4 linked regions of the Lonchura striata genome follow. The protein of the gene in region 2 interacts with the protein of the main gene of each other region in a pairwise test. Links are inferred from orthologs where the notes say so. Each region holds a gene or a part of one and is shown on either strand. Other genes may lie near its edges.

Region 1 (7,699 bases), on a different chromosome or scaffold from region 2:
AGTTGAGTGAAAAATGACTGAACACCTCGCAGACAAAAAGGGCTGGAATTATAAAAGGGGTTATAGCAAGACAAATTGAAAGAGAACAGCTTATGTGTGATGGTCTGAAGCATTAATGGAGGGATTCTGAGTTTCTATTGTCCTATAGAAGAGGCGATGCTCTACCTCCTGGAGTGCAAATACCTAAAATTTAGAAACGAATGACAAAACAAACAAACAAAAAAAACCCGTCCCATCAGCAAGATGTGGAAATAAATACACCTTCAGCACGCAACATTACTCAACGTAGGTCAGGAAAATGTGCTGAAAAGGCAAGAAAATGTGTCGGCCTGAAGGTGGACTTTTATACTGTTGGTTTGCGTTTGTTTTGGTTTATTTTTTTTTATGATAATAAATACGATTTTTTAAAATAAGAAATATGATTTATGTGTTGTTCTTTTTTGTTTAATTTTTTTTCCCGAGGCTGGGGGGGGAGCCTGGCGGAGAGCGGCGCAGCCACAGCTTGCAAGCAGCGCTCCCCCCCCTTCCTGCCAGCTCAGCAGTCCCGCCACGCCGCGGTAAACAAGTGCTGAGCTGTCAATCAGCGCGGGCTGGAGCAGGAGCCGACCGGCCTGAACCGGAGCGCCGCCAAGCCCCGCCGCCGGCTCCGCACCCAGGGCGGACCCTGCCGCCGCCCGCGCTGGGCAGACCCCTCAGGTGACGGGGCAGGGACGAGACGGGGCGCAAGCACGTCCCCCTGCCGCCTCTCTCTCTCTGAGGGGCTTTGCGCCGAGCCAGCGCCTCGGGGAGCGGCCCCTGCCCGCCGGGGGCAGGCAGCGAAACCTGCTCACTCACCCTAGCCGCCAGCGCCCCGCCAATCAGCGGCGGGCATCGCCTTAGCAACAGGGCAACAAACCGCGGCCGGCCAATCAGGGCGCGGCCGGGCCGCGGGGCCGCGCTGAGGGCAGGCGGCGAAACGCGGCCGGGCCGCGGGGCCGCGCTGAGGGCAGGCGGCGAAACGCGGCCGGGCCGCGGGGCCGCGCTGAGGGCAGGCGGCGAAACGCGGCCGGGCCGCGGGGCCGCGCTGAGGGCAGGCGGCGAAACGCGGCCGGAGCCGAGACGCGGCTCCGCGGGGCTCCCGGCCCGCCCGCTCCCACGCGTGCTCCCCCCGCCACGGGCGGCTGCTGCTGCGCGGCTGCAGACTCCCGTCTCCACGCTCTTGGAACCCGCGGGAAGTTACGCTCAGGTGTCTGATTTCTGAGGCGGTGGCAGCCCTAAGTCACCTCGTTAGCGCGGTGTGCTCGAGACGTGAAAAAAAAAAACAAACTAAAAAAAGGCCCGAGTTCTGCTACAGCTTTGAGCTCGGGAATACTGTGTGAAGGCGCTCGGTGCCGCCCGGAGTTGTTAAAAAATTACATTTATTATTTTTTAAGAAAAAACGAGAAATATCGCATCGCTGCTGTGTATATGATGTATTTTCAGAAAAAAAAAAAAAAAAAAGGGGGGACAAGCAGCCCAAAAAAATTACATAACCGGGTTTTAACATTATTTTCTTGCACTGGGGAATTAAGTCATCGCCACCACCTGACGAGTGCGGCCAATCTGCGCGGAGCGGGCGGCCCACCCCCCTCCCACAAAGCCGGTCCCAAACAGGATTGAACCGCTTCGAACAAAGGCTGCGAAGTTCGGGGGAGAAAGAAATAAAAAACCACAGAGAACCCCCGGGCCCTGGCGCTTGCACCCCCCAGGGGAAGGAGTCTGCGCTTCGTGGGGACACCACGGCGGCTCGAGTGGGAAGTGGGGAGCAGGAAGTCCTCATCTCCCCAGTTTTGGGAGAGATGCTTCCATTACGCAATATCGCTTCCCCCCCTCTCTCTCCTCCCCCTCCTTTTGCTCCTCATCAAGGGCTTTTCGGACACATCTTTACATCGGGGTGACCCCCATTGCCCAGCGGGGTGTAGGGGCGGCCCAAGGAAATTAAAGCTTTTTACCAGGGCGAGGGGAATATTGAAATGAGGGAAAAATTACACGTGTGGTGGTGAGATGTCAAAATAAGCTAGGGAGACCCTTTTATCTGCAAATAATCAACCATCCTGAAAAATGCATTGTATTACCACTCCAACAGCATCAGCAGAACCCCTCATGTGTCAAAAAGTATAGTTTTTATGCTTTCGCTGTGTTTCAATTAGGATTCTGCCAATAAAGTCCGCTGCCCATCTGGCTGTAATTTTACAGCTGTTTTTCCCCACGGAACAGCAAATCCTACTAAATATCACCAAGGAAAAAATAAAAGGTAAAACACTCGGAAAAAACTTATATTAATATATAGCCGTAATGAAGGGCAAGTAGTTCAGAGGGAGTCCTCTTGCTTGCAGGTACTTTGCAAATGCATTTCCTACATGTAACTCCATTGCCAAGATACGACCCTGGGCACGTCCTGCTCTCCAATGCACCTAATTAAAAGACAGGACTAAACCAGGGTGATACAAAGATGCGTGCTTTTTTTTCCATAAAAAAATAAAGCAGCACAGTTAAGGGCAGCCCTTACCTCTCTCGTGGCCGATCAGGATGTCTTTATGGTTGAAATATTCCACTTCTTCGGTGTAGTTCTGTGTATAGGCAGTGTTGGATCCAGCATTCCTCGATTCAGTCCAACGTACTTTAGCGTGGCCCCTCGCATGGATTTTAAGGGATTTCACTCTGATTTCCCCAGTTACTTCTAGACTGACCCTTCCTGAGACTGTATCCCCACTAGAGTAAACAGGGACATTGCTGTCATTCAGACAGTCAAAGCTTATCGTCAGACTCTTCACCTTCCCCAGCACCATGGTTTTTATAGCAAAGTGTACAAAAATAGACTGTTAAGAAAAAAAAAAAAAAAAAAGGGGGAAGGGGGAACCCAAAAAACAACCAGCCCCGAGCCCCTGGGGCGCAGGGTGCTGCGGCGCGTACCCTACAGGCGGCTCATGGGGGCGGCGGGCAGCCCCGGCCGCGGCGCGGGCGGCGCTGGTGCCGACGCGGCGTCTCCCCACAAAGGCGCTGCCGCGCCGCCGCCGGCCCCGCCTTATAAGCCGTGTGACAAACAAGCGCGGGCGCGCATGCCCCGCCCCGCCCCGCCGGGGCAGCCCCGGCTCCGCGCCGCCGCCGCCGCCGCCGCCCGGGAGCGGGCGGAGCGCGTTTTGTGCCGCCCGGCCGGGCGGAGCGGGTCGTGTGCTGCGGCGGACGCCGCGCAGGTGATGCTCTGTTGGTGCAGATGGCAGTATTGCAGCCTCTACGGAGACAGCAAAGTTGTGCCTCACTTGACAGACCTTGTTCTGAAACTGGCAAAGCCTTCCTTCTCTTGGTCATTGGGTTTTGGGGTGGTTTTGGTTGGTTGGTAGGATTTTGCTGCTTTGGTTTGTTTGGTTAGGTTTTCTTCCTTGTTTCGTTTTTTTTTTTTTTTTTTTTTTTTTTTTTTTATCTCTGTGTGTATGTGTCTGTGTCTAAAGATGGGAAAGAAGTGAGCAAAGCTTGGTAGGAAATGATAGAAAATCATGGCAAGAAATAAAAAGCAGTCCTGGCTTTCAGGGTAGTACATATTGTACTATGTGAGGATCCTCTCTGTTAACTTTTGAAAATCAGTACTGATTAACCTGAATTTATCTACGGCAGTATCAATGACTGTCCTAGCAATAAAAATTACATTACTGTAAATCATCCCTGGAATTTTTTCCAACTGTTGATTTTTTTTTTTTTTTTCATTATTACTTTGGTTGTCCTGTTTCTCTGGTAAATGCTCTGGGTTTGGTTATTTAATGCTACATTTTCTAATTCTAGCTCACTTCCCTGCTGACACAAAATTTTCAGTGAGAAGTATGATGGTGGTGGATGACATACCCCAAGACACCATTTTTTCGGGGGACTAAACTGAGATACACAGCTAACTTTTCATGCTAACGGTTAAGTTTTGAAGTGTTTGCCTATTCCTGCTGTTTTTTCTTAAGTAAAAAAAGTCACATTTTCCTTGGCCTTGTGGATATTCTCATGTGGGGTTTTTTTGTGGCCAAAGGAATTCAAGTCTCTTGTGGGTAAATTAGGATTTTCTGTGCTTTTGCAGCATCTCATGGTAAGCATTCATACTTCCTTAGCTCTTAGAATCACAGAATAATTGAGGCTGGAACAGACCTTCAAAATCCTGTAGTCCAACCATAAAAAAAAACACTTTCAAGAGAAGAAGAGTTGATTAAATTTCTCTTCTGACAGTGTTTCTTTGTTCTTCTCATGCCTTCAGACTCAGGTAGTCTCTTGCATGTGTTTATTTGCACATTTTAATTCTATTCTGTAATTTAAAAGATAATTGTGTCTTTCATGAGTCATAGAAGCCACAATTCCATGGTCTCCAGTTGCTACAGGAGTTGAGAAAGCTGGCAGCCAGGTGGGATGCAGATTTCATCCACAGGGTTTGGGTCATATCTCCTGTTCTGCCAATTCTGGGCTGGTTCTTAATGTTCACCTGCCCAAGGACAAATCTGCAGACATGATAAAGAGCAATTGCATTTTCCAGGAAGCTGAAGATACAAATCTGTTATTCCAGTGGATATTAATCTGGATTTTTTTTTTTTTTTTTTTTTTTTAATCTAGATAGGTAAGAAAGAGGATCATCCTACATAGTTGGGGTATGTGCAGCATGCTTTGTGTACTGTTTGCATTTGCCTATTCCAAATTTGTTGAAGAAAAATAAAATACTTCACTAAGCTGCTGCAAATCATCCCCTGTATATACCCTGCAGACCTCATAGCCCTGTCTTACCTCCCCTCTCACTAGACATCAGCCATCTCCTAGATCACCATATTTCGTGTATGGCTATATGTGATTTAAATCTAGACCACTGAACAGGCTGACATAGTTTAGTTAATCATGTGTTATGCATATTAAACTTCAGACTGACAGCTCTGCAGAAGAATCTATGTATGTATATGTATACATTTCCTGCATCCTGCCAAAAATCACCCGTACACATTCAGCCTCTGCTGCTCTTTTTAATACTTCAGTGTATTCGTTTTACTTTTGTGTTCCTAAAGCATACTCGTCATGCCACCTTGTGGCAAGGATGGTGAAGTGCCAGCACTGACTTTCACCAGTCTCTGGCCTCTGCATTTATGCAAAATTGACATTTTTCCATGGAGCCTTTTTGTCAAAAACAACAACAACAACAGCAACAACAAAAAAATACACCAAAACATTAATTTTATTTTATTTAAGTGGAGAATATACTATGAGGTTTAGCCAAAAATATTTAGCATTTTTTTAGATGTTAAGTTAACCAAATATTTTTCAGGATTTAAGTTTTTGCATTTGTCAAATGAGCTATACTCTAGTTAAATATTAAAAGTTTTATAGATCCTGACATGGGATTTTAAAAATTGGTTGCAAAGACAATCAGGTCTTATCATCTTAGATCAACAATAGGCAGTGAAGACTTTGTACACACATGAATTATCACGAGCCTTCACTAACCTTTTACAGGCCTTATGCATGATACAGTCCACAAAAATTCACATAAAGTTTTAAAAAAGTATTAATTTGATTAATTAAGCCAAATTTCTTTCTTTTTTTTTTTTTTTTTAACTGGTGGAACCTATGAAGATCATGGTGTCTGCTATTGAAGTTAGTAGCTCCAAGGAAGATGGCAATATTCCAGCCTCCATAAAGGCATAAAGATTATACCTTATTTTACAAACCCTTTCTTGAAACTGGCAAAGTCTTCCTTGTTTGTCTTTTTTTTTTTTTTTCCCTTGGAACTTTAAAAATTATTTCTCCTTTTAAAATTATTTTCTTATTTTTTAAATAAAACAACCTATGCCTAGAACTCTCTCAACCTCCATGTGACGTAATTATACATTTATGCTGAAGACCATTCAAAATCCAGAGGTTAGGTCCATTTAGAATCTTTGTAGCTTATCAGTCTTCTCACTGTGCACTTGGTAAATCTGTAAGGGTGGGTATTATGCACAATGATCTTGATAACAGTCATTACATTTTTCTAAAAGCAAAGCCAGAAAAGCTTGCAAAGTTCTCCTGACTCATCAATAAACTACTATTAGTAGGAAGATCCAGGTTTTGAGCCCATCTTCTTACAGACCATCCTGGTTTGAGACTAGGCCTGATTTGATGTGGAGACAGTGTTTGCCCTCCCTGTGAAGCTGTTACCTTGTACACAGAGAATGGGCTAGAGTGAGTGTCAGAATAGAAGATGCGTGTTTTCTGAAGGTTAACGTGTCCTTATCAAAGGGAGAATCCTGAAAAGAAAACTCATGCTCCAGAATGGTTTCTATGTTTTGTGCAGTGAATGAATGAAACATGTGAAATGTTCTCTTAATGGACTTGTTTCTGTTCATCTTTGTTGTGTCTGATCCCAAATCTATTCATAAAAATAAGAGAAATGAGGTTTGCCCTCATCATAACTTTGTGAGGCTACATTTGTGAAATATTGTCGCATCAAAATAGTGAGATAAAAAAGTTAATTTATGGTACTGTAGATCTGTGTACTGAGGAACTTTTTCCAAAACTCCGGGATTCAGAAGAATGTCTACAGACTTTCTTTTTGTTACTATCTCCACTGGAACAGTTGTTCATCTCTCAGAGCTGTAGAAAGAACAGAAATTTTTGCTAAATAGTCTTCCTTTGGGCTTATTTTTTTAATGGAGAAATAATCAGTGATGTAAAGAAACTTGGAGATTGAAACTGTTTCCTGGATTTGAAAGATCCAGGATTTGGGAGCAGCTTTTCTCGTATTATCTGTATCTTTAGATGATAGCATTTATTATTGAGAAAGAGCGTTCTGTATTTCTGATGATTCTGCTTTCAGAAGGCACATACTGTAAAAAAAAATATTCAGTCTCAAAACTCAAGCACTGTTTGAAATGTTTATTAGTTTGCGGTTTTTTTCTTTAAAATATTTTAAAGCTGTCTTGGAGCTAGGTGACACTTTGGTCCATGCCATAGCTGCAGAGCTTCCATACCTGGCTCATACACGTGGTCATGTTTAAAAACCTGGGATGGTCACTGATATTGTAAAGGCTATGAGAATATGCAGGATTATGAAATCAAAATTATTTAGGAGTGATTAAGATACAAAATAAACTTTACTGTGAGTCTAGTAACATGTAACATGTTTTGCTGTTGTAACTTTTTTGATGTAACATGTAACTTTTCTGATGGGGTTTTACCGTATAGTGCGAGGAAGAAGGATTTGGCAATGTGCTTGAGTCGCAGTAGTACTGAGGAAAATGTTCTCTTGAATTTTGTTTCTGCATTCCCTCTTTTCATGTTTATCTCTCCTTCTGACTAGCACTTTGCAGAGAAATCTTAAAATATTTGTGATTATATAAAGTTTCTTTTATGCAAAGTGTGTATTTTTGTTACAGGATCTTTCCAACATGCCATGATATTAACTCCGTTGGTCAGGGCATGGTACTCTGCCAATAGTGCCAAGATAGTAACTTAAGAGTTGGTGTGACTGTTCAGTAAGAAATGACAAAAAGTCAGTCAGAAGGCTGAGTGGCATAAGCATGCATCTTTACTTGGTGTTGCTTCTTTTATACACTGATCTGATACAGGTGGACCTGATTGGTCATTTAATCAATACATTTCACCCAATTAGCTAATTAACAAGACACACATTTATAAACAATCTTATGAGAATATCAAGAAAACAGATATTAGGAAGACACTAACTGCA
Region 2 (7,932 bases):
CAAAAAAATCCACCTGAACAAATACACCAGTTTGAGCCACGTGAAATGTGAGTGTGGTCAAACAGCAAACTGCACCAGGGAGTTGAAATTAGAAATAAAATAATAAATAAACCAGGAAACCAGCTCAAAATGAAACAAGAGATTGTGTGGCAACAAGAGCACTCAAACTCTTCCATTTTGGCCAGGACAAAAATCCCAGGAATGTTGAATTCTTCTCTTTCCTAGGGTGCCAACAAGAAAGCTGAGCCTGGTGTCTCACTTATTTCACTGTTTTTTTCAGTGCTGCCATTGAGAACAGACGTTGTGTAACAAAAAAGTGACACAGAGCACGAGTTTAAGGAAGCACGAGTCAGGGCAGGACACAAAACAAAACAACTGAGTCACCGTCTTCAGCCCAACTCCAGGCAGCTTCTGTAATCATTGAAGCACAGAATATCCTGAGTTGGAAAAGATCCATCAAGATCATCCAGCCCAGCTCCTGGCCCTGCACAGCCACCCCAACCTCTGTGTGGTTCTGGGGAAGCCACTGGGAAAAAATCCTCAATAAAAGGATGAAAAGCAGCTGATCTTCCAGCAGCCACAAGTATCCGAATCCCTGCAAACGCCATGGCGAGGCCAGGATGCACAGAGACACCTCTGGAAAACGCTGGGAAATTTCAGGAGTCGGAGCAAAACAGGCACAAACCATTCCTTGATGCTGCTGAGGGGAAGGGAGAGGGGGGAACCACGGATCCTTTCCCTGCCAGAGCCCCCAGCCCGGCCAGGATGTGTCAGGTGTGCCCTGGGCCCACCACAGCCACAGGAGGAATCCCGGGATTATTAAGGCTGGAAAAGCCCTCCCAGCCCATCCAGTCCCAGCTGTGCCCAAAGCCCACCTTATCCCCAGCCCAGAGCCCTGAGTGCCACCTCCAGGAATTCCAGGGACACCTCCAACCCTCCCTGGGCAGCCCCTGCCAAGGCCTGAGCACGCTTGCCAGGAAGAATTTTTCCCCCAAAATGCAAAAGATAGGATTTTAAGGACTTTCCGGGCTCCTTTTCTGTTGTTGGTGTGAGGGATTTGGAGCTGTGGGGGAGCACAAAATGTTCCCTGCCAGGAGGAGCTGGGGCAGGGCCACCTCTGCTGCTGGGGTGGGATTGATGGATATTCCCTTCTGGGAAAAGCCTTGGGATTCTGGTGCTCAGGATCCCAGAAATGAGGCTGGAAAAGAGCTCCAAGATCCCAAAGTCCCAGCTGTGCCCCATGCCCACCCTGTCCCCGCCAAGAGCCCCGAGTGCCACCTCCAGAATTCCTGGGACACCTCCAGGGATGGGCACTCCAACCCTCCCTGGGCAGTGCCAATCCCTGAGCCCCTTTCCATGGGGAAATTCCTGCTGGTCCCACCCTGAGCTCCCCTGGGCCAGCCTGAGGCCGTTCCCTCTGCTCCTGTCCCATTCCCTGGGATGATCCCAAATCCCCCCGGCTGTCCCCTCCTGACAGGGAATTCCAGAGAGGGAAAAGATCCCTGGGGATCCTCCTTGGCTCCAGGCTGAGCCCCTTCCCAGCTCCCTCAGGGATTCTCCATTCCCTTCCCAGCTCCCTCAGGGATTCTCCAGCCCCTTCCCAGCTCCCTCAGGGATTCTCCATTCCCTTCCCAGCTCCCTCAGGGATTCTCCATTCCCTTCCCAGATCCCTCAGAGATTCTCCAGCCCCTCTCCAGCTCCCTCAGGAATTCTCCATTCCCTTCCCATCTCCCTCAGGGATTCTCCATTCCCTTCCCAGCTCCCTCAGGGATTCTCCATTCCCTTCCCAGATCCCTCAGAGATTCTCCAGCCCCTCTCCAGCTCCCTCAGGAATTCTCCATTCCCTTCCCATCTCCCTCAGGGATTCTCCATTCCCTTCCCAGCTCCCTCAGGAATTCTCCATTCCCTTCCCATCTCCCTCAGGAATTCTCCATTCCCTTCCCAGCTCCCTCAGGGATTCCCCAGCCCATTCCCAGCTCCCCCAGGAATTCTCCATTCCCTTCCCAGCTCCCTTAGGAATTCTCCATTCCCTTCCCAGCTCCCTCAGGGATTCTCCAGCCCCTCTCCAGCTCCCTCAGGGATTCTCCATTCCCTTCCCAGCTCCCTCAGGGATTCTCCATTTCCTCTCCAGCTCCCTCAGGAATTCTCCATTCCCTTCCCAGCTCCCTCAGGAATTCCCCAGCCCATTCCCAGCTCCCTCAGGGATTCTCCAGCCCCTCTCCAGCTCCCTCAGGGATTCTCCATTCCCTTCCCAGCTCCCTCAGGGATTCTCCATTTCCTCTCCAGCTCCCTCAGGAATTCCCCAGCCCATTCCCAGCTCCCTCAAGGATTCTCCATTCCCTTCCCAGCTCCCTCAGGAATTCTCCAGCCCCTTCCCAGCTCCCTCAGGGATTCTCCATTCCCTTCCCAGCTCCACTCCAGCCCCTCAGTGTCTCCCTTGTCCCAGAGCAGTCCCCACCCTTGCGGTGTCCCCGCAGTGCCAGCACAGGGACGGGCACTGCCCCGGGCTGTGTCACACCGGGCTGGCACAGCCCAGGGACCACTGGCCTCCTGCCCAGCTGGGCACCAGCCCCTCCCAGGGCCTTTTCCAGCCTTCCAGGCCCTTTCCCAGCCCAGCACTCCCGGGGCTCGCTGTGACCCCGTGTCACACCGGCCTCACCCCACGGCTGCCGATCCCTCCTGCCCCAGCCGGGCCACGGTGCCCTCCTCGGGATCACCCACCGGGACCCACGCCGACCCCCGGCGCGGGGAACAGCGAGGCGAAAAGAGGAGGACAAGGAGAAGGAAACAGCCGAGGAGGAAAAGGAAGCGGGGAAAAAAGAGGAGGAAGAAGAGAATCTACAGCCCGAGCAGGCCGCCCCGCCGAGCCCAGCCGCCGCCGCGCCGCTCACCCACGTCCTGCTCGAAGGGGTTGGCGGCGAAGAGCGGCATCTCGGCCCGCCGTGCCGCCGCGCGTCCCGCACCGCCTGACCCGGCCGGAGCCGCCGCCGCGCCCGCCCCGCCTCGGCCGCTCCGCGCGCGGGGCTGCCCCGCCGCGCCCGCAGCGCCGCGCGGCCCCGCCGCGCCCGCAGCGCCGCCGGGATCGCGGCCGGGAGGGAGAACAGCGGAGCGGCCCCGCGCGATGAGGGGAACGGGGCGGGCGGCGGGAGCGCGGCGGCGGCAGGCGCGGCGCGGGGCCCCGCGGGGCGGAGCTGCCGCTGAGGGCGCGCCGACGCGACCCGCCGCCATGTCGCGGCGGCGCCTGAGGGAGCGAGCGCGGCGGGCGCCGCTCGTCCTTTGTACCCGAACTGCGCTTGTCTGAGGGCGCAAACTGCGCGGGCAGCTCGTCCTGGCTCGTCAAGAGGAAAAGTTAAAAAAAAAAAATAAAAGAAATAAAAACAGTGAACCGTTGGAAATGCTGAAAAAATTTCCCAGAGAGCTGCAGGGGAAGCGGGTCATGAGGCAGGGTCCTGCATGATTGTTGTCCAATGTGGAATGCGTAAAGGTTTTGTACAGGAAGGAAGTTCTTTTGTGTTAGGAAGGAAGTTCTTTGGTGTTAAGAAAGACGTTCTCTGGTGTTTGGAAGGATGTGCTCTGGTGTTTGGAAGGATGTTCTCTGGTGTTAGTTCTTTGTAGGTTGCAATGAGGATCGCCAGGAAGGGCGGTGGGAGACAGCAGCCAGCGAGCTCCCACTGATGTACAGTGCCGGAAAAACAAATTCCTCAGGCTGCAACTGCTGTGTTAAATTCAGGGCTTGTCAGCTCCAGTGAGGTCAGCTGTAGGTGAGGCTGAGAGCGTTCAGGAGGAAGGATTTGCCCTGGTTGTGGATCCAGGGATTTTCGTTCAAGAGGAAGGATTTCAATCCCTGGTTATGGATCCAGGGATTCCCGTTCAGGAGGAAGGATTTCAATCCCTGGTAGTGGATCCAGGGATTCCCGTTCAGGAGGAAAGATTTCAATCCCTGGTTATGGATCCAGGGATTCACATTCATGAGGAAGGATTTCAATCCATGGTTATGGATCCAGGGATTCACATTCATGAGGAAGGATTTCCTCTGTTAGTGGATCCAGGGATTCCCGTTCAAGAGGAAGGATTTCAATCCCTGGTTATGGATCCAGGGATTTGCATTCATGAGGAAGGATTTCAATCCCTGGTTATGGATCCAGGGATTCACATTCAGGAGGAAGGATTTCCTCTGGTAGTGGATCCAGGGAATGCGGGATTCCCGTTCAGCAGGAAGGATTTTGCCTCGCAGTGGATCCAGGGATTCCCGTTCAGAAGGAAAAATTTCTCCTGGTAGTGCATCCAAAATAAGCTGTTTCCTGAGCTGAATTTCCAGGGAATGCAGGATTCCTGTTCATGAAGAAGGATTTCAATCCCTGGTAGTGGATCCAGGGATTCCCGTTCATGAGGAAGGATTTCAATCCCTGGTAGTGGATACAGGGATTCCCATTCAGGAGGAATGGTTTCCTCTTGTTTGGATCCAGGGATTCCCGTTTAGGAGGAAAGATTTCCTCTGGTTGTGGATCCAGGGATTCCCTTTCATGAGGAAGGATTTCCCCTGGTATTGGATCCAGGGAATTCGATATTCCCATTCAGCAGGAAGGATTTCTCCTGGTTGTGGATCCAGGGAATGCAGAATTCCTGTTCAGGAGGAAGGATTTCCCCTGGCAGTGGATGCAGGGAATTCAATATTCCCATTCAGCAGGAAGGATTTCTCCTGGTTGTGGATCCAGGGAATGCCGGATTCCCAGGCCACAAAGGCATCTGGCAGAGCCCCCGGGGCAGGGAAGAAACCAACAGAGCCAATTCAGCGGCTGTGGTGAAATCAGCTGTGCCCGGGTAAAAGGGAATTAATTCCAGCAGGGGGTAAAAAACTGCCTGACCCTAAACGGGACAAGGGCACGGCATTAATTAGCATGAGGAACGAGAGAATCATTAACCAGCAGGAGAGAGGACACTAATTAATAACTGGCTGAGGAGATGAGGGGATTACAGGTTGTGGAGGGATGGTGGCAAACAGGAACATTCCACAGGGAACGTGGCTCAGTGACAGTTCAGATTTTTGGGATGTGTGGCCCCCCAAAAATCCCCATTATGGGCACACCTGAGCACCACCTGTCCCCATCCCTGCTGGGGGATCAGCTCCAAGTCCTTCCTGTGAGGAACAAGTGGGATGAGTCAGGGGTTGTACCCAGCACCGGTGCCTTTGGAATATGCACAGTCACCCATGTGGGAGCGGGCCTGAGTCACTGCGTTACCCACTGCTGAATTCTGAGTTATTCCCAAAGAATTTGTGCCTAATTCTGAGTTATTCCCAAAGAACCTGTGGCAAAGCACAGCACCCACTGCCTAATTCTGAGTTATTCCCAAAGAACCTGTGGCAAATTGAGTTATTCCCAAAGAACCTGTGGCTAATTCTGAGTTATTCCCAAAGAACCTGTGGCAAAGTGAGGCATGGCAGCAGCACAGTTCCCAATTCTGGGAGAAGGGCAGGATTTTGGAAGTCCAACACAAATTATTGCAGCATTCCTGAAAGCTTCCTGTATGATTCAGTGATATTTCCCTGCCCACTCACCTTGAATTTCAGGGGCCACATTCCTTTCCTCAGCTGTAATACCAAAGTGTAAGATTCAGAGCACGTGTGAAAACAGTATTTTTAGCACCTTTTGTAAAGAGATTTAATTCTTATATTGTAATTGAATTGAATTATACATTTGAATAATTATAAATTATTATTATTTATTAAAATTTCATTTGGAGATGTTCCTACAAAAATGTAGTGCTTCGTTTTTGTCATGAAAACAGCTCATATTTTTGGAACATCTTGTACTTCAAAACATTGGGTTTTAAATCAGCTGTGATGACCTGGGGCTATCAAAGCTTCTCTGTCGGGATTTTTGATTCTGGAATTCCATCAAATCAGCAAGGTTGGAGGAGACCTTTCAGCTCAACGCCTTGAAGTGGATGGGCTGTGTGAGGAGGCGGTGGAGGTCCAAGGAGCGTTCCCTTCCCGGTTTTCCAGGCTTTTTCCAGGGATTCCGGCTGTCTGCAGGGGGCACAGTTGCCTCGCATTCCCGGCCACCCTTTGCCATCCCGATCCTGCTGCTGGGAATCGCCTCCTGCCAGATTTTTTAAGACAAAATGCAGAGTCTTTCCCGAGGTCTAAATTCACTAATTGCATCGAAACTTCTCCTTTCATTTAACGACTCGGAACGAGAACGGCATTCATTGGTTTAATTGCCTTAAAAGAGGAATTATGAACCCATTAGCACGGGAAGGCACCGAACACTGATGTTGTCTGGCCAAAGTGGGAATTTGGAATGGATCCTGGTTAATTCCAGAGTTTTGGCTTTCATGAACTCCACTCATTCCACGTGGTGCCGCAGTCAGAGCAGCTGGCCGTGGAAACGAAGGGATGGTTCCTCCATTTCCATAGGTTTTGTCACCTCAAATCAAACGTGGAGCTTTGCTCCATTCTCTTTTGGACATGGTGGGACCACGCATCCAAGACCACCTGGAAAGGAAGGATTGGGAAGGGCTTTCCGCTGAGTCTGAGCCTCCCAGCTCCAAGGAGTCGTGGAGAACATCCAGTCCAGGAGCACCTACAGAACTCCTGCTTTGGGTGACACCACAGCCAGAGCCACAATTCCCAAAGGAAAAATCCCACAGGAAATGGTAAAAATCAACAACAATACAGAAAGGAAAGGAAAATATCAGGGCACGGAGTAATGGAGGAACAAACTATTCCTTAAGGAGAAGCAAGGAGGAGAGGACAGCAAAATGATCTGAAAAGAAGCTGTTTCCAGAGCTGTATTTGCAGCCTCTGGCTCTGGGAATCTCTGTCTCCCTGAGCAGTCTGTGCCCCCGTGTCCCAGCTGTGTTCCCACCATTAGGCCCAGCTGCCTGCACCGTGTCCAGTCCCTGATGGATCCAGAGGGTTTGTAGGGAATCTTTGCTCCCCCTCCTCCCTGCCCTGCCCCACATCCAGGGGCCAACTCAGCTTTCCCAGTTTCTTTGTTACAAAATGTTGTCATAATATTTAATCTCCAGCCTTGGCCTGTGCAGCAGCTGTTTGAAAGGACAATTTATATTCCCCAAAGTGCTTTGAAAGCCCTCGGGAAGCTCCCAGGAAGCTTTTTCCTGGTGCACAGAAGCAGCTTGTCCAGGCTTCCAGCTTTGTTTTGTGCCTGGCTGGATCCTCTGCATTCCTCCAGCTGCCCTCTCGTTTACTTTGTGGTTTGCTGGAATATTTGTTCCCTGTTTTTTACGCCGCTCTCTCCGTGTGGGAGCCGCACAGCCCCAAAACAGATGAAACAGAGAAATGCCCAGAGTGATTCCATGGAAAGCATTCCAAGATGGGAGCGAGGAGCTGCTGTGGTGTTCCTGGAAGGTGAGAAGCTCACCCTTTAAAGTGTGAATGTGCTGGGCTTTCAGAGCTCTGCTCAGCAGCTGGACAGGCTTTGTCTCCGTGGGGATATTCCTGCAGGAGAAGGCAGCATGGAAAGGCTGGGCTGCGTTCATAAAACTCCTTTCACTGCACACACAGCCTGATGCCACTTCAGTGAGCATCCCCTCGCTGCTTAAAGCTTTGATTCATTCCTGCTCAGCTTCCTTTGGCTGTGTCACTCGGCTCAGCCACTCCAGTTTCCTCACGGAAGCGTCTCCGACGCTTTTCCACACGTGGCTGTTGGAAGCAAGCTGGTGTCAACAGGAATGCATTTGGTTTTTTAATCACACTTTATTTTCTTGTTGCTACACGATGGCATTCCTCTTCCTTACAGTAGCTGCCACAGAGGAAATGGATCCTAGATTTTCCCCACTTCCATGCACAGCACCCGCCCAGAGTTTACATCCAGATTTCTCCCAAATGCAGAGAGACAATTCCAGTGGCAAAAGCCCTGGTTGATGGACACTGCCTGGAAGTCTTGGCATCTCCTAAAAAACAGCCTC
Region 3 (7,405 bases), on a different chromosome or scaffold from region 2:
AACTCCATCACCTCTTGCCCTAGACCCACTGAACATAAAGAAAAACGGATTCCTTCTCTCTGCAGAGAAACATTTTCTATTTTTGAAAGATCATTACCATTTTTCCCAACACCTACCTTTTCTTCAGACTAAACAACCCCAATTCTTTCAATTTTTCCCCTCAGATCATGTTTTGTAGGTCTCTGATCATTCTTGAAGTTGAGACTGTGGCAACATGTGGTACAAGGGGAAAAAAAATTATTCCTACACAAAATTCCCCAGGAAGCTGGGCGACAGAGGGTTTGTTTGAAGAGGTTACTTTTGTATGATGACTGTCTGCTTTGTTTCTTGGGTGTTTCAGTGCCAAAATACATGTTCTTTCTGTTCTCTGTGGCTCAGAGAACAGGGCAGGTGCCCCAGGGCACAGGATAGGCATACATTACACTCGTCACTGAAAAAACATTTTGGACCTGGGGAAAACCGTTATTAAGGAAAGCAAGTTATTCTTGCCAGTCATGGAATACTTCTTCTTACCAAGATGGTATATTTGGGATAAATTGCTTTAAGTGGCATATTTGTGATACCAGTATAATTTAGGCAGAAGTTTAAGTAATTTTTAGAAACATGAGTAAAATCCTGCATCACAAAGTACATTTCAGGGAAATATATTAGTTCCATAATTGCTTTCTAGTGCTGCATTCACTCTGTCTCAGAAAGCAATATGCATTTGTAACATACACTGAGAAATGTCTATGGTTCAGCTAAAATCAACAAAACTAAAAATAATCATGTGCATTTTAGAAGATGCCATGTTCTTTATAACCACATAAATTAATTCCACCATCCTCATAATCAGATTCACATACATAATGGAAGAATGTAATTTACTTCCATTCTCCAGAGGTATACAAAGTATTTTTTTTTTTTTTTTCCTTCCAGAAAAAGGTTTTAAAATTGCATTGTGTTCTATTCACCAACATTACCCAAGCAAACAGAGTTATCTCTGAACCTCTGGGTAGCATGGCATGGAAAGATTGCACTCAGAAATCAACTGGGCTTCTGTGTATGAATTGGGAAAACAATCCTACCCAGAAGAAAGATAAGACCTAATGAGAGATGATAAGTGTTGGGAAAATAAGCTTGATGGAAGAAAAGGAAGTGAAAAAACTTTTCCATGCTGAGGACAGAAAAGGTCTTTCGAAAACTTTTGTTAAGCATGACATATTAAACATATCCAAAATGTTATCCAACAATAACATGAACATGGATCACGTAAAATGGTGTTATCAAAAGATCTTTCATCTAAAAATTAGGCAATTTATGACGCCAATATTGTAGAGGAACTCCTAACAAGAAGGACTTTTTATGTCTCCAGAGGATTTTAGATTTTGAACTCAAAAGGAAATGGATTTTTCAGTAGAACAGTTCATCACCTCCGGCTACCTCATATGAGCCTTAAGAATATGTCAATATGTCATTTGCCTCCTCTCATATCAAAAGCCTGTAAAATAAAACATAAACTTTGTCTGCATAGTTTAAAACTCTTTTTCTTGAATTTCCATTCTGTTTTGAAAGAGAGATTTCACTCAGAAGATGCTAGCTGTCACAAGGTGGTGAGGACAGACCCATGTGTGACATTGTTGTATTGAGGTGTACCAGAACATTAATTCTGTATGCTGGCAAACTTCAGAACTTCCCCATTACCATTCTGAAAACAGATTACAGCCAACTGTTTAAATGTCTAGATGTGAGGAAAAGTTTCATTGACTTGCCTTGCCAGTTCTGTATTGATATTAGTCTGACACAAATTTTTGTATTTGCATGATCTTTTCTGTCTGTAGTATTTGTGCAGCCCTAAACCACGACATGAATCTTTCTTCCTCTACAGGAGCATTCTAAGGCTCTAGAAAATCCATTCTGACTATTACGTGTTCCCCAAAATTAGTAGAGGAAGTAAAAACCAGAGAGAACCGAAGTAATCAGTTAAACTACACCATGGTTCTGCTAAAGCAAAGAAACCACACTCATAAATCACATCTTCTGAGGATCCATCCCTCTACTTCCTTGTCCCCAACCTGCAAAAAGTGTGGTAGCAAAAGGAGTAGGCTCACAGCTACATCTCAGCATATTCAGGGATATTAAAAGACATTTGTGAACACTAAAATGTTTCCATTTTCCATATCCTCAGACCTTTGTACAACTTTTGAGCTGATGGTTCAAAGCCACTATTAATGACCTATCTGGCAAAACAGGAGTGAATGGCCAGGAAAAGCAGTGCCTTCAACCACCCCAACTTGAAAGAGTCCAGACATGACTGGTAGTAGCTCTTCCCCCTTCAGAGCTCTCACAGGTGCAGTCTGTCTTGTTGCAAGGCCAAACATGAACCTCTCTGCTTCCTCTTTGGTCTCTGTGAATCCACCGTGAAAAGCAGGTCTCTTCTGGCATTTGACAAGTCTGCATTTTTTAAAACATGCCCAGATTTGGAGCATCCTGTACCTACTAAGGGGAAAGTTTTAACTGGGCTTAGCAGCTATTCCTTCTGGAGATCGGCCACAAGGTAAATAAATGCAACATCTCTACCATGAGATGCAGAGGAAATCCCACCTACATCCTGACTGTATATCAGGATGAGACCAGTTTGCACTCTGGTTTCCAAAGAAAGGCTATTTTGGCACGTCAGCCAGCAGGGAGGCACCACAGGTTTCCATAGGACCTCCTCACTGTGGAGGATCAAACTGTGATCACAGCCTCACACCATGGCACAGTGTGACCTGTGGTTTTCACTGAACTACATCAACGACACAGGCCTGAGCCTCAGAGAGAAAACAAAACACAAGATAACAGCTGAGTAACTCAGTCCTTCTAGCTGCCCATCATCTTGTTCCCAATGGTGCCAGTGCACAACTCAAAATACCAGTGACAATGCTGGAGTTTCATCACCAGGTTCTCACAGCAGACAGCTCTGACATTGCCTTAACCTTGAAAATCATGACTGGGTGAGGCAGTGGTTCACTAGATCCCCTCCAACAATTGCTTGCCTAATTCTATTAAACCAAGCCAACAGACTCATAGGATAAACACCCAAATGAGCAAGCCATGTACCACAGTCATTATTTACAATGCACCACTGCAAAGCCTCTCTATCTTGAGCAACACTAAAAATCCTGCCCGATTTTCAGTTTCTGTTTCCTTGAAAAGCCTGAAGCTGTGTTAGAACACCATAAATGGCAGCAATCACAGGCTTTACACCAGGGTTGTTTAACTTACCCTTTGATAAGCAGCAAAACAAACTACCCTAAACAGTAATAAAATGAAATCTACAAGAATGAACTCATAAGGATAATCAGCAAAAACTCTGATCCCAGACTGAGGTCCACCAGCAGAGGTTGTGGAGGCAAATACATAACTGTGAATGGCATGTCTGGAGATATTCTGACCCAAGAAGTTGCAAAGCAGGCCCAAGCTGTATCAGCAGACAACTTGGTACTGCAGCCACGCTGTACTGCTTTACAGACTGGAATTCGCAGCTGCTCTCATCTGCACCGTATTTGCTTCACCTTAAAAAATACTTCACTTTAAAAATTGGATTTTAAAGTATTTTCCATTATGTGACTCTGAAGGCCAAGGATGCATTTTGAGGAACCAAAGAACACTAACAGGACCATCACATATCCCACGCTGTGTGGGTTAGTGCTGGCACACTAACACAGTGACACGGGGGCATTCAGTATCCTCAGATTTGCATTTATCAGTACTTACCTAGACTTATATCCAAGTATGGATATATTTTTATGAAGGCAAAAAAGAGAAGATAAATATATGGCTCATTAGAGTACTTGCTCATCGCATAAAAAACCCTTTAGAAACGCAAAAGCCAAGTGCTGATTTTGCTCCACTCTGGGGCTCACTGCCCTGTGCCTAGACTGACCGTGCCGCTGGGGTCACGCCAGCGACCAGCACGGGGAACTCTTCCCTGCCTGGGGAGCCTTGGGCAGGCCCCGGGCCTCGCACAAAGCGCCTCAGCCGGGGCGGGCCGGGTGGCGCGGGGGTCGCCGCTGCGCTCCCGTCCCGCCGCGCCGGGCCCCGCCATGCCCGGAACACAAACAAACACCGCGCTCGGGGGCGGGGCCAAGCGGCTCCCACCATCTTGGGGCCGGGGGAGCCCGGCAGGCGGCTGGGTTCCCCAGCCCGTCCCGTCCCGCCTCGTCCCGCCGGGGGCGGGCAGGGCTGTCCCCGCGGCGGGGCCGGGGGGTGCGCAGCCCAGCGAGGCCCCGCGGCTGCTCCCGGGGCCGGGCGGGGAGGGGTGAGAGGAGGAGCCAGGGCGGCCCGTGCGACAAAGCCCAGTGCGCAGGGAGCCGGTGACCGGGAAGCAGAACCGCGCCGGGCAGCCGCGGGCGGACCCACCGGAGCCCGCTGCCCCACGGGGGGTGGGAGGCCCGTCCTGCCGCCCCCCCCGGCTCGGGGGTCGGGGCGGCCGCGGAGCGGAGCGGGAGGCGGCCGGGCTGCAGCTGCTAAGCCGCTTAGGGCCGGGGCTGGCATGAGCCTCCCCGGCGGGGCGGCTGCGGGCTGCGCGCTGCGGCGGGGAGGCTGAGGGCGCGGATCCGGAGCGGGAGGAGGCGAAGGAGGGGCCGCGCTCCCCCCGGGAAGATGGGGAACTGCCTCAAGTCCCCCACCTCGGATGACATCTCGCTGCTGCACGAGTCCCAGTCGGACAGAGCTAGCTACGGAGACGGGGCTGAGCCGGATCAGGAGCCGCCGCCGCCATATCAGGTAGGGGAGGGGGCGGCAGCGGGGCCGGGGGTCGCGGCGCCGCTCGCCCGGGGCCGGTGCGCGCCGCCCCGGGGGCCGCCGCCGCCGCTCCGGCGCTGGGCGGCCCGAACCTCTCCCTTTCCGCCCGCACGTAGCGCGGGGGAAGCCGCTTTGTCTCGGCCGGTGCCGGCGCTCCGGGCGGGCGGGAGGCGGAGGGCAGGGGCCGCCCGGCCGGTGCCGCGTCCTTTGTTGCCGCCGGCGGTGACATCACCGTCTGTGTGATGTCCCCCGCACCGTCTGGCGCGGGGACGCTCCGGGACGGGGACCGCGGGCCCTGCCCGGGCTTAGCCCGGGCCCGCTCGCTCCGCTCCCGTATTTTTAGCAGCATCTGATCCCCACTGAGTAACTCGCCCAGCGCAGCGGATCCTGTTTCCCTCCGTCCTGTGGGGCACCGGCGGGGAAGTGTTTCCCATTGTTCGGTGGGGTTTTTGGTTTTTTTGTTTTTTTTTTTTTTGTTTTTTTTTTTTTTTGTCTCTGGGAGAATCTCTTAATTTACATCTTGATGATGAATCAAGGGGGAAAGAAGGAAAAGGCCGAGCGTGCTTTGATGGCTTTGCTGTCAGCGGAGGGTAACGCCGGTGTGGAGGGAGGATGGCATTGGTGTCGAAGCCTGCGCTTGGCCGCCTCTGGAAGGGATGGACACGAAAAGGGAACCTGAACTTGGGGTTGCACTTGTCTGCTCCCGGACATCTCCTCCCCCACCTACAGAAATGCGTACTGACCTAAACAAACGGTCTACAGCACTGAAAAATGAAAAGGAAAACCATCCAGCGATAGAACTGCACATTGTATTCGAGTTTTGAAAGTATTTTATTGTCTGGGATAATAGCATACATACCAGAGGCATCTACAGAAACACACATTCTGGGGGGTAGGTGTAACTTGAGAGCTGATGTTTTCTAGGATGGGAGTCATTCCCTAATTGCAGAGCTTGATGTATAATTAACAAAATTGCAGGAAGTATTTAACCGGACAGGCATGTAATCTATAAATGCTTTAGCGAGTTCAAGAATTCCACCCTGATAGGAGCCCCGTAAGTGTTGAAGAGAAGCCCTGCACGTAGCAGCCCTTGCTGGTGCCCTGAAGCTGCACTGATGTTTCTTGGCAGTGTGTGCCTGATTGTTTTGTTTGGGTGCAAAAGCTGAATGTCACAATAAATTTCGTGAGGATTTTTTCTGTTCTGATTTCTGAACTATGTCTGCTGAAGTAAATAGAAAGTGCTTGGTGGCGGATCAAGTTTTTTGTGTTGTTCTAAATTAAGCCTGAATGGTTTAGAAGGTGTTGTATGAGGTTTAGAAGTGTGTTGTATTTTTGTCAAATCAGCATAACAAGTTTGAATGTTTGTGCTGTTGATTGCATTTATATCTGTGATTATAGGAAGACTTGTGAAGGTTTTTGTCTTCTTGTTCTTCCCTTTGAAAGCAACCTTTTAGCTCTTGCAAGAGTCAACAACCACGTAAATGCCTTATACAGGCCTTCTAGTGTGGATGTTGAAGTAGAGAAGGACTCTGTCGTCAGAGGTTTTTAAGATTTTTTTTCTTGATGAGGAACTTGTCTGTAAGTGTGGATGGTTGACTGAGAACACGACAGACAGTAAAATAAATGAACCCACAGGTGTCTATTATCGAGGAAGTGTATTCATAGCAAACCTTCCCTCAGCTGAAGAAGCTGTGCAGCATCAGGTGATGTGCCCACAGGCACTTGGCTGTGTTGAACATCACTGTCTGTCCTGAAAACTCCTCCACTGATCCTGCCAGTTCCTAAAGCTTCACCTTAGGGTAGCCTTTAGTGTCTCATAGTCAAAATCAAAGCTACTCTTTCCACAGGTTTTGAGCCATGATGGATTGTGACTTTAAAAAAAAAAAAAATAGGTCTTAGCTACAATATTATGCAATATCTGTGCGCTTTAGAGGTTGAGGGGATTTATAATTTTAAATTAGTTAATATTTACAAGATACACAAAACTCTTAAGTAGGAACAATTGCTAATGCTCCAGTATTACTTCTGTGCTAGAAATAAGTCGCCCATTTTAACTTTCAAGTGGCAGCTCAGAGTCAGTGTTGGAAAGTTGTGGCCTTGTTCCTGGTAATGACTTCTTTCAGTATCTTAGCCAGAGTTAGTGTATAATGAGTAGACATTAGAAATGAAAGCAGGAAAGGGGATAAAGCAAGTTGGAAAACTTACTTGTGGCAACTAGCCTTGAGAAACTGGAAGGTGAAGAGTTTTAAAGCCAGCTGCTGAAATATCAGCTGCATATTTTAGAAGAAAGTAAAATCTGGTGTCTGTTGCTGTTGGGTTTGCAGCAACAGTATGTCAACTTCCTGAGTAGCTCTTGCAAGGTATGCAAACTAAGGGAAGGAGGTTTGCTGGGGGAAGATACACAGTTGTAGAAGATGACTTCTGTATTATTTTGACATTTAAAGTATTTTTTTGTGTTCTGACAGGATTGTGCCAGGGATGTTCATGTGAGACTCCTGTTATGACTTAGTATTTATTTACCTATTGAGTTCCAACTGCAAAATGTACCCCCAGTAAAAATTGCAGTATAGCATGTGGAATTTCTTTGATCAGTGAGTGCTATTAAACTGGCTGTGTAAAATTCCTACTTCCAAAAGTG
Region 4 (6,958 bases), on a different chromosome or scaffold from region 2:
AAGCTAAAAATACAATGGCAAGCAAACTGCAGGTCTAATTGCAGCACAGATGTGTGGCAGACTGGTCATGCAGCATGCAAACCCCTCATGTTAAAAATGGTGCTGCTCCTGGCTCCTAGAGCACAGGCCATCCCTCCCTGCCACAAAGCACCAAGCAGGTCATCATGGAGCCAACATGTTATGCCAGATAGAAAAAGTAATAATTAACTGCATTTTACCATGAAGCTGGTAAAATCAGAAATGTGTTTTGTGAAGGGGTCAGCTGAGTTTCCATGAAAAAAAGTCCCCGCAGTTACTCAGGGAACAACATCCTCACTGCTACTTTGCAGGTGTAATTCTGGGTACTTTTTGGCCTGCAATAACTACCATGGAATTTAAGACTAAAGATTATTCTAAAAAATATCCATTTGCCTGCTGCCTTTCTGCAGTAAATGGCCAATGTGAAATTCTAGAGAACACCTTGCTGTCACCTGTGATGGGTTTGAAGATGAAGTTGATGTGACAGTACCACTGAAAACAGTATTAGGAGAAAATATCCATGTGTTTATTTCAAGTATAATGATTATACCACCTAGCAAAAACAAAAAAAAGGGCAAGTGTGGAGGAAAAAAGGCTGATCTAGAGTTTGAATACACAAACTGTAAGGTGCAATAAGGGCCTCAAAAATGTAGTTTTTAGAACCCACATTTCAGAGTCAACATACATAGTAACAGCTCTCTTGCTATAGACATTACAGAAACAGAACCTCATGACTTGATCAATGTGGCACTTCTGTTAATGAAGTTAATTCCCATAGGAGACATTGTGTGGGCTGACCCCATCCTGCTTTCCTATTGAGGCCAAGTGCTCCCAACCCCATTCACACAAGTCCTGCTGTCGAATGAAGCTATCTAAAACATCTCTGTTCCCCAGGCACCTCAGGGAATTCTGCTGAGCCTCTAAGAAAGGTCTGTAAGAAAAGGTGTTTGTAATGCTTAAATCCAAGCATTAGTTTTACAGATAAAACTTTTCCCACTGTCTTTCCAAGCAGTCAGAAACACTAAGAAAAATGGTTTCTGATCGGTTGTGATGACTGATTAAGGAGGTGATTATTTTAGTAGAATTCTCACAATACAAGTGTGTGAGGAAAAAAAAGGTGAAATGAGAAAGACTTAATTTTAGGTCTAATCCCTCTATTGAGGGGGTTTAGGTGGCAAAAGCTAAATAGAGCCTGGAATAGAAACTGCAGTTTAACTATTCAGATACAAAGCATTTATGCCAATGGCTTGGGTCTCTGTGCATGCTCACTCAATTCACTAGACAGAGAAGAGGATTTCCGTTCTACAGTGAATTTTGGCCTCCTTACTTTTTCTTTTTCAGAGAGAAAAAATTTTAAAATACTTTTACTAAAATGGAAAGAAAGAGGAAGTTCATGTTGGAAATAAAGCCAGTTTGTTTCAGTGAAATTAAAGCCTCTGTTTTTTATCACTCCAAAGTGTGGTTAAGGTAGAGGAGCCACAGCCTTGGCTAGGGAAAAGGCCTCTGCTCTTGGGCCCTCCTCAAGGCTAGGTCTCTATTACTCTTTCAAGTATAAATTATGCAAGTGTTTCTAAATGCAAACTAAAACATCAATGCGTAATAAACGGTTCAAAAGGATAAAGGTAAAAAACCGATTAATTATTCCCAGATCCAAACATTCCCATCAAGTGAGAAATTTCTCACCAAACATCTTTCTGACGTTCTCCTGGTATTTCACTGAAGTGCAGGTCTACAAAACATTCAGATTTTTTGAAAGTACAAACCATAGGACAACTGCTTGCAACTGAATTGTTTTGGCCATCTCCAGCTCTGGTATAGCCTGTACATCCCCAATAAGACCAGGAATATTTGTCACATACTTAACTAGAGTTACAATACACCAACAAGAGAGCGGGAAAGGAGTTTTGTCATTGGATTTGTTTGGTGGTTCAGACCGCAGACAGGTCTGCATCGAATCCCTAAGGCTGACCAGCGCCATGTGACTCCAGAGGATCTATCTCAGCAGCAGGCAGAGACACACGCGTACCCCGGGGAGCAGAGGTTAGTTACCTCTTCTGGTTCATCGAGGCCAGCTGGCTCCATTCGTTCAGGCACGGGTTATAGCAGTGCGCGGCCGAGATCTCCTGGCTGGTGATGCGGTAGCCGCCGACGATGAACAAGTAATTGTCCATCGTGGCCGAGCCGTAGCCACGGACGCTCACCAGGTCGGCGGGCACGTTGTTGGCCAGCGGCAGCCACCGCCGCGCCTCCTCGTCGTAGCGGAGCATGGCCCAGGGCGCGTCCCCCGCGGGGTGCCAGCCGGCGGGCAGCCCCGGCGGGCAGGCGCCCCTGAAGTCCCCGAGCAGCACCAGCGTGGCCGCGCCCCTCATGCGCCGCTCCCGCAGCTGCTGCTGCAGCGCCGGCGGCAGCAGGAGGTGCGGGCGGGCGTCGGGCCGGCGCAGCACCTGGTGGTAGTGGGCGGCCATGAAGTCCAGGCAGGCGTCGTGCAGGTCCTGCAGGCCGTACACCTGCGCCAGGCGGTGCAGCTCGAAGCAGTTGCCCAGCCGCACCTGCGACAGCAGCAGCCGCAGCAGGGGCGTGACCTGCAGGTAGGACGCGGCCTCCACCAGCTCCTCCAGCAGCGGCGGCTCCTCCTCGCCGCCCTCCTCCTGCTCCAGCCTGGCCAGGCAGGACGTGTTGATGAAGTCCAGCACCAGCTCCAGCCCCAGGGCGCTCAGCCCCCCGCGCAGCAGCTGCTCCTCCTGGCCCTGCCCTGCCTCCCGCATTCCCGAGCGGTAGAGCGCTCGGAAATAATCACTCTGCTCGATCAGCTTCCTCTTGCACACCGGGTAGCACTTGTCCCCCAGTCGGATCTGCACCATCTCCTCCCCGGCACCGGCCCCATCCCCCGCTTCCCCTTCCCGCTCCCCTTCCTCCTCCTGCCGCCGCCGCTCCGCCAGGGACATCGCTCACAGCGGGCCCGGCCGCGCCGCGCCCGGCCGGAGCCGCCGCGCCGGCTCCTCCTCCGCCGCCCGGGATGGGCCGAGCCGGGCTGGGATGGGCCGAGCCGGGCCGCGATGGGCGGGGCGGCTTCGCTGCGAGGAGAGACAAGGGGAAGTGAAAAAAAGAAAAAAAAAAAAAAAACCCAAAACAAAAAACAACCCACAAACAAAAAAAAATCCGCATACAGGGAGGAAAGGAAAAAGAAGCCCGAAAAAGGCAATGTTGAGCGTTCCGGCGCTGCCCGCCGGGGGGGGGGGGGTGGGGGGCGTCAGGACATCCCCCGGGCCCAGCCAGGGTAGGTATCAGGGGCACGGTGGGAAGGCCGGTGCTGGGCTCCAGGGGACAGCCCAGAGGCGCAGCGATCCCCCCTGGTGCTCCCCTCTCCTGATTTGGGCCGGAATCGCAGCTGCAGCCGCAGCTCTGACCCCTTGCCATAAATGTACCGCTGCAGCCCTGGCCCAGGGGCAGCATTCCCGAGGCGCAGGGAAAAAGCAGAGTGTGAGCGGCACAGCCAGCCTGGTGCCATCGCATCCCCGCATCCCCGCACTACCTCGTCCCTTCCCGGGCGGAATCCCCCGGGCTCCCCTTGCACAGCCCAAGCAGCAGAGGGACTCGGGAATGGCAAGGGCGATGCGTGACTCTGCTCTGACCCTCCTGGCTCCCTGCGTGTCCCAGCGCCTGCTTCGCCCTGTGAAGACACTGCATCCTGTTCTGCTGCTCCGTCTCTTCTATTTAAACTGAGTGCTTGCAACAGTACATCTCACGAGAGAGCTGCGTACCAGGGCTCTGAGTTTGTTCGACTTGAACAAGAAAAGAGCAAATGAAGAACTGAGCCCTGAATTTTTTTGACATGAACAGGGAAAGAGCAAATTAACAACTGAGCATCTTGGGCAAGGGTAAAATGATAGATTTGCTGTTTGCCTTGTTATATTCTTCAAACACAGTAACACTCCTTTATTTTAAAAAAACCCTGCCATCTGCCAAAATAGATGAGAAGTCTGCCATGCCTGTATTCTATTATATGCTGATATGTACTATAAAGATGTTCAAAATATATATTTATCTTTATAAAGATATTTCCTTCAGATATTGTCCTTCAGACCATAGAAAATGTTTCCCTTTAGCAGTAGTGTGACTCATGTCCAGTTTGTGCAGCTTGCTTAGTTTTCAGACAACTCCTTATTTTCACTGCTCAGAAGGGATTTTTTCTCCCCACTACTAAAACATGTCATATTAGTCTGATTTGTGGGAGTTTTTTCCCTCTCTTTTAAGGAAGACAGGGTTGTTTACTTTCTAGCATTTCCTCTATGAAATGATTGTGACCCTTTATCACTTTTTTGTTGATCTTTATCTTAACTCTAGCCCTTGGATATGACACGAATGTCAACGTCAGTTACAGGTGTTCTTTTCTGCTTTTATAAAAGCATTTTTTGAGGTGAAGTAGATTTCTGTGCATGTCTGTTTTCCACCTCACTTCAAACATCTTCATCATCTTGTTTTTGAGGGGCCCATGTCATATTCTGAAATCCTTTTCTATAGGATCTCAACCAGACATAAAAGAGATCTCTTCACTAGCTGGGTCACCATCACCTCTCACCTTCTCTTTCCTACTACTGTGTTTCACTGTTTGCTTGGTTTGTGTTCCTCTTTCAGTCTTTGTCATTATTTAATTAACATTCAAATTCCAGGCTCCCATCTTTTGTTCTTAATAAAGCACCACCACATTTTGCTTTTTGAGTTTCTTACATCTAGCTGGAGTTTGTGTGAGCACTCGGCTGTTTTTTTCCTAAGGTTCAGGTTCAGCCTTCAAAAGATTATCACACACAAGTGTCTCACCATCTCAGTAGGAGTCCAACTCTTAATTCCTTCTTGTCCTTTAATTCCCACAGGCAGGCATTTCAACCAATTTTAATCATTATTACTCCTGAGGAAAACAGAGATCTCATGGTTGGCATGGCCAGCAAGCTGTCTTGTTGCAATACAGAAGGATTGCCATCTTTAGACATCTGCTTTGGAGTCTCTTATGTTTCATGGATTCATAAATTAGCTCCTAATTGGTGAATGTGTTTTTCCATGTAGTCAGTTATGGTAAATTCAGCCTCAAAGTGTTGACACCACAGCCTGAGTGGATGAAATATTTCTTCTCTGGTTGTATGTTGCCAAATGAGCCTATGCCTGCCACTCTGCCTAGGATTTCCAGTCCTTCTTCCTCACAGTCCATGAGGTTTGTGAATGAGTGGGATCAATTCTGGCATACAGTAGTGTTTTATTATCGGTGCTGGGATCCCTGATGTGGGAAGAATGATGTGCAGAACTCCATGATATCAGAAGGCTAATTAATTACTTTATTATACTATATTATACTAAAACTATATTACACTAACAAGAACTATCACTAAGTAACTAGAAAACCCGTTACTCTCTCTGCTGAGAGTCCTGACACACACATGGATCCAATTGGTCAATCAATCCAAAACACCATCACCAGTATCCCATTAAGAAATCACCTTGTGTAAACAATCTCCTAACACATTCCACATGTGCACAACAACCAGTGAGGTGAGATAAGAATTGTTTTGATTCTCTTTCCTCTGCTTCTCTCACAGCTTCTCTCAGGAGAAATCCTGAGAAAGTTAAATCTCTCTCTATTCAGAGGACATGTAAATACAACATTTTATTCCTGCCAGCAAACTTTCGATGGCCATGACTCCCACAGCTTTCCCCAGGAGCTCTCACATGCCCAGGAGGTCAGCAGTACTGAGTGGGCACTTTTACAAAAAGCCTGTTTCCTTACCCAGTTGTTTTTATTGGGCTGATTGTCAATTCTCTGTGCTTTTTCCAGGCTCAGGGCCAGGCAGTTGTGCTAAGCCAGACTGTGCTGACAGAACAGGTCCCTTATTTTTTTCTACACTTATCAGTCAGCCTGTGTGATGTGCTTATAGAGCAAATGCAAATGCACCAAGGCAAGGCCTACTCTTTTGTTCCACTCTTGTGGAGATAATTTTGTCTGTCTTCCACTCTACAGTTATAACCGTTTTTTTTCTAAGATCAATAATAGATGTTATTATAATGGAATCAAAGAAAAGTGTTTCACCAGCAATCATCTTGGTTGTACCTTAAATGAATAAGAAATATATTTTCCAGAGTTGGAACTCTATTTCTAGAGCTACAAAGCTGAAATGTATAGTTCAGAGCCATAAAAGATTTGCATGATCTTTGAAACAAATATGAAGGGCTTTCTATCATCCTTGAAGAACATGCTGAAGCATCAAACTTGAAAACGTCATGGTAGATTTTAAATCTAAAATGTTAAATGAGTTTATGACAAAAGAACATGTGCTTAAGAACAAGACACACAGAGGGGAAGACAAAGGTAACTCTGCTCAGCATTTCAATATCTGTCTTCTGGACTTTGGCTCCTGGGGCTTCAAAGTGTTTTAGGCAGTTCAGGCCTCTCTTTACAGTACCTGAGAGACAAATTGATACCAAGAAAAAAGGTTCTCAAGTGCCAGCAAAGGGACTGTGCAGACACCAGAGTGTCAGTAAAGGCTCTCTTGCTCCAGGGTTGCCTTGGCTATTTGTGCTACATAATTTTTCCCTGTCTCTGTTGCCTGAACTATTTCCTTGTAGTTAATGTCTGAATTTGTTCCAAGGCCAAAGAGAGACCACTCTTTTATTTTAAAAAGAAAATAAATGGAAGAAACTTTTTTCATACAGCAACTCCATTGTAATAGATCATTCAGCCATGACACAGAGAATCTGAGCCTTTCTCTGCCTGGGCACACATTTCTTGTAGCCCCCTGACTTTCCCAACATAGCAATAGCAAGGAATCACAGAGACTCAGGAGGAGTTACTGCTACAAAGACAAGAAAAGTGAAGCCAGGGAGACACTGTCTAATACTTGAGAACCAGAGAGTAACATTAACCTGAATGCTCTGAGGAAAAGACCACACTGAG

What was found.
Region 1: the proteins of STAM2 (region 2) and ARRDC3 interact in binary tests that used the Homo sapiens proteins (3 or more experiments, as listed by UniProt). The two-hybrid records come from large-scale screens. The link is inferred for Lonchura striata from reciprocal best matches to the Homo sapiens genes STAM2 and ARRDC3.
Region 3: the proteins of STAM2 (region 2) and RNF11 interact in binary tests that used the Homo sapiens proteins (3 or more experiments, as listed by UniProt). The link is inferred for Lonchura striata from reciprocal best matches to the Homo sapiens genes STAM2 and RNF11.
Region 4: the proteins of STAM2 (region 2) and KLHL42 interact in binary tests that used the Homo sapiens proteins (3 or more experiments, as listed by UniProt). The two-hybrid records come from large-scale screens. The link is inferred for Lonchura striata from reciprocal best matches to the Homo sapiens genes STAM2 and KLHL42.

The regions. Positions count from the first base shown.
Region 1 is NC_134642.1:67,596,633-67,604,331, forward strand, and holds the start of ARRDC3 (arrestin domain-containing protein 3), read right to left. Parts: upstream 3,021-7,699; 5' UTR 2,808-3,020; coding exon 2,528-2,807; intron 1-2,527. UniProt on the Homo sapiens protein: Adapter protein that plays a role in regulating cell-surface expression of adrenergic receptors and probably also other G protein-coupled receptors.
Region 2 is NC_134610.1:1,560,479-1,568,410, reverse strand, and holds the start of STAM2 (signal transducing adapter molecule 2), read right to left. Parts: upstream 3,001-7,932; 5' UTR 2,932-3,000; coding exon 2,892-2,931; intron 1-2,891.
Region 3 is NC_134611.1:10,220,415-10,227,819, reverse strand, and holds the start of RNF11 (RING finger protein 11), read left to right. Parts: upstream 1-4,396; 5' UTR 4,397-4,626; coding exon 4,627-4,749; intron 4,750-7,405. UniProt on the Homo sapiens protein: Essential component of a ubiquitin-editing protein complex, comprising also TNFAIP3, ITCH and TAX1BP1, that ensures the transient nature of inflammatory signaling pathways. Promotes the association of TNFAIP3 to RIPK1 after TNF stimulation.
Region 4 is NC_134607.1:11,073,671-11,080,628, reverse strand, and holds the start of KLHL42 (kelch-like protein 42), read right to left. Parts: upstream 3,020-6,958; 5' UTR 2,964-3,019; coding exon 2,068-2,963; intron 1-2,067. UniProt on the Homo sapiens protein: Substrate-specific adapter of a BCR (BTB-CUL3-RBX1) E3 ubiquitin-protein ligase complex required for mitotic progression and cytokinesis. The BCR(KLHL42) E3 ubiquitin ligase complex mediates the ubiquitination and subsequent degradation of KATNA1.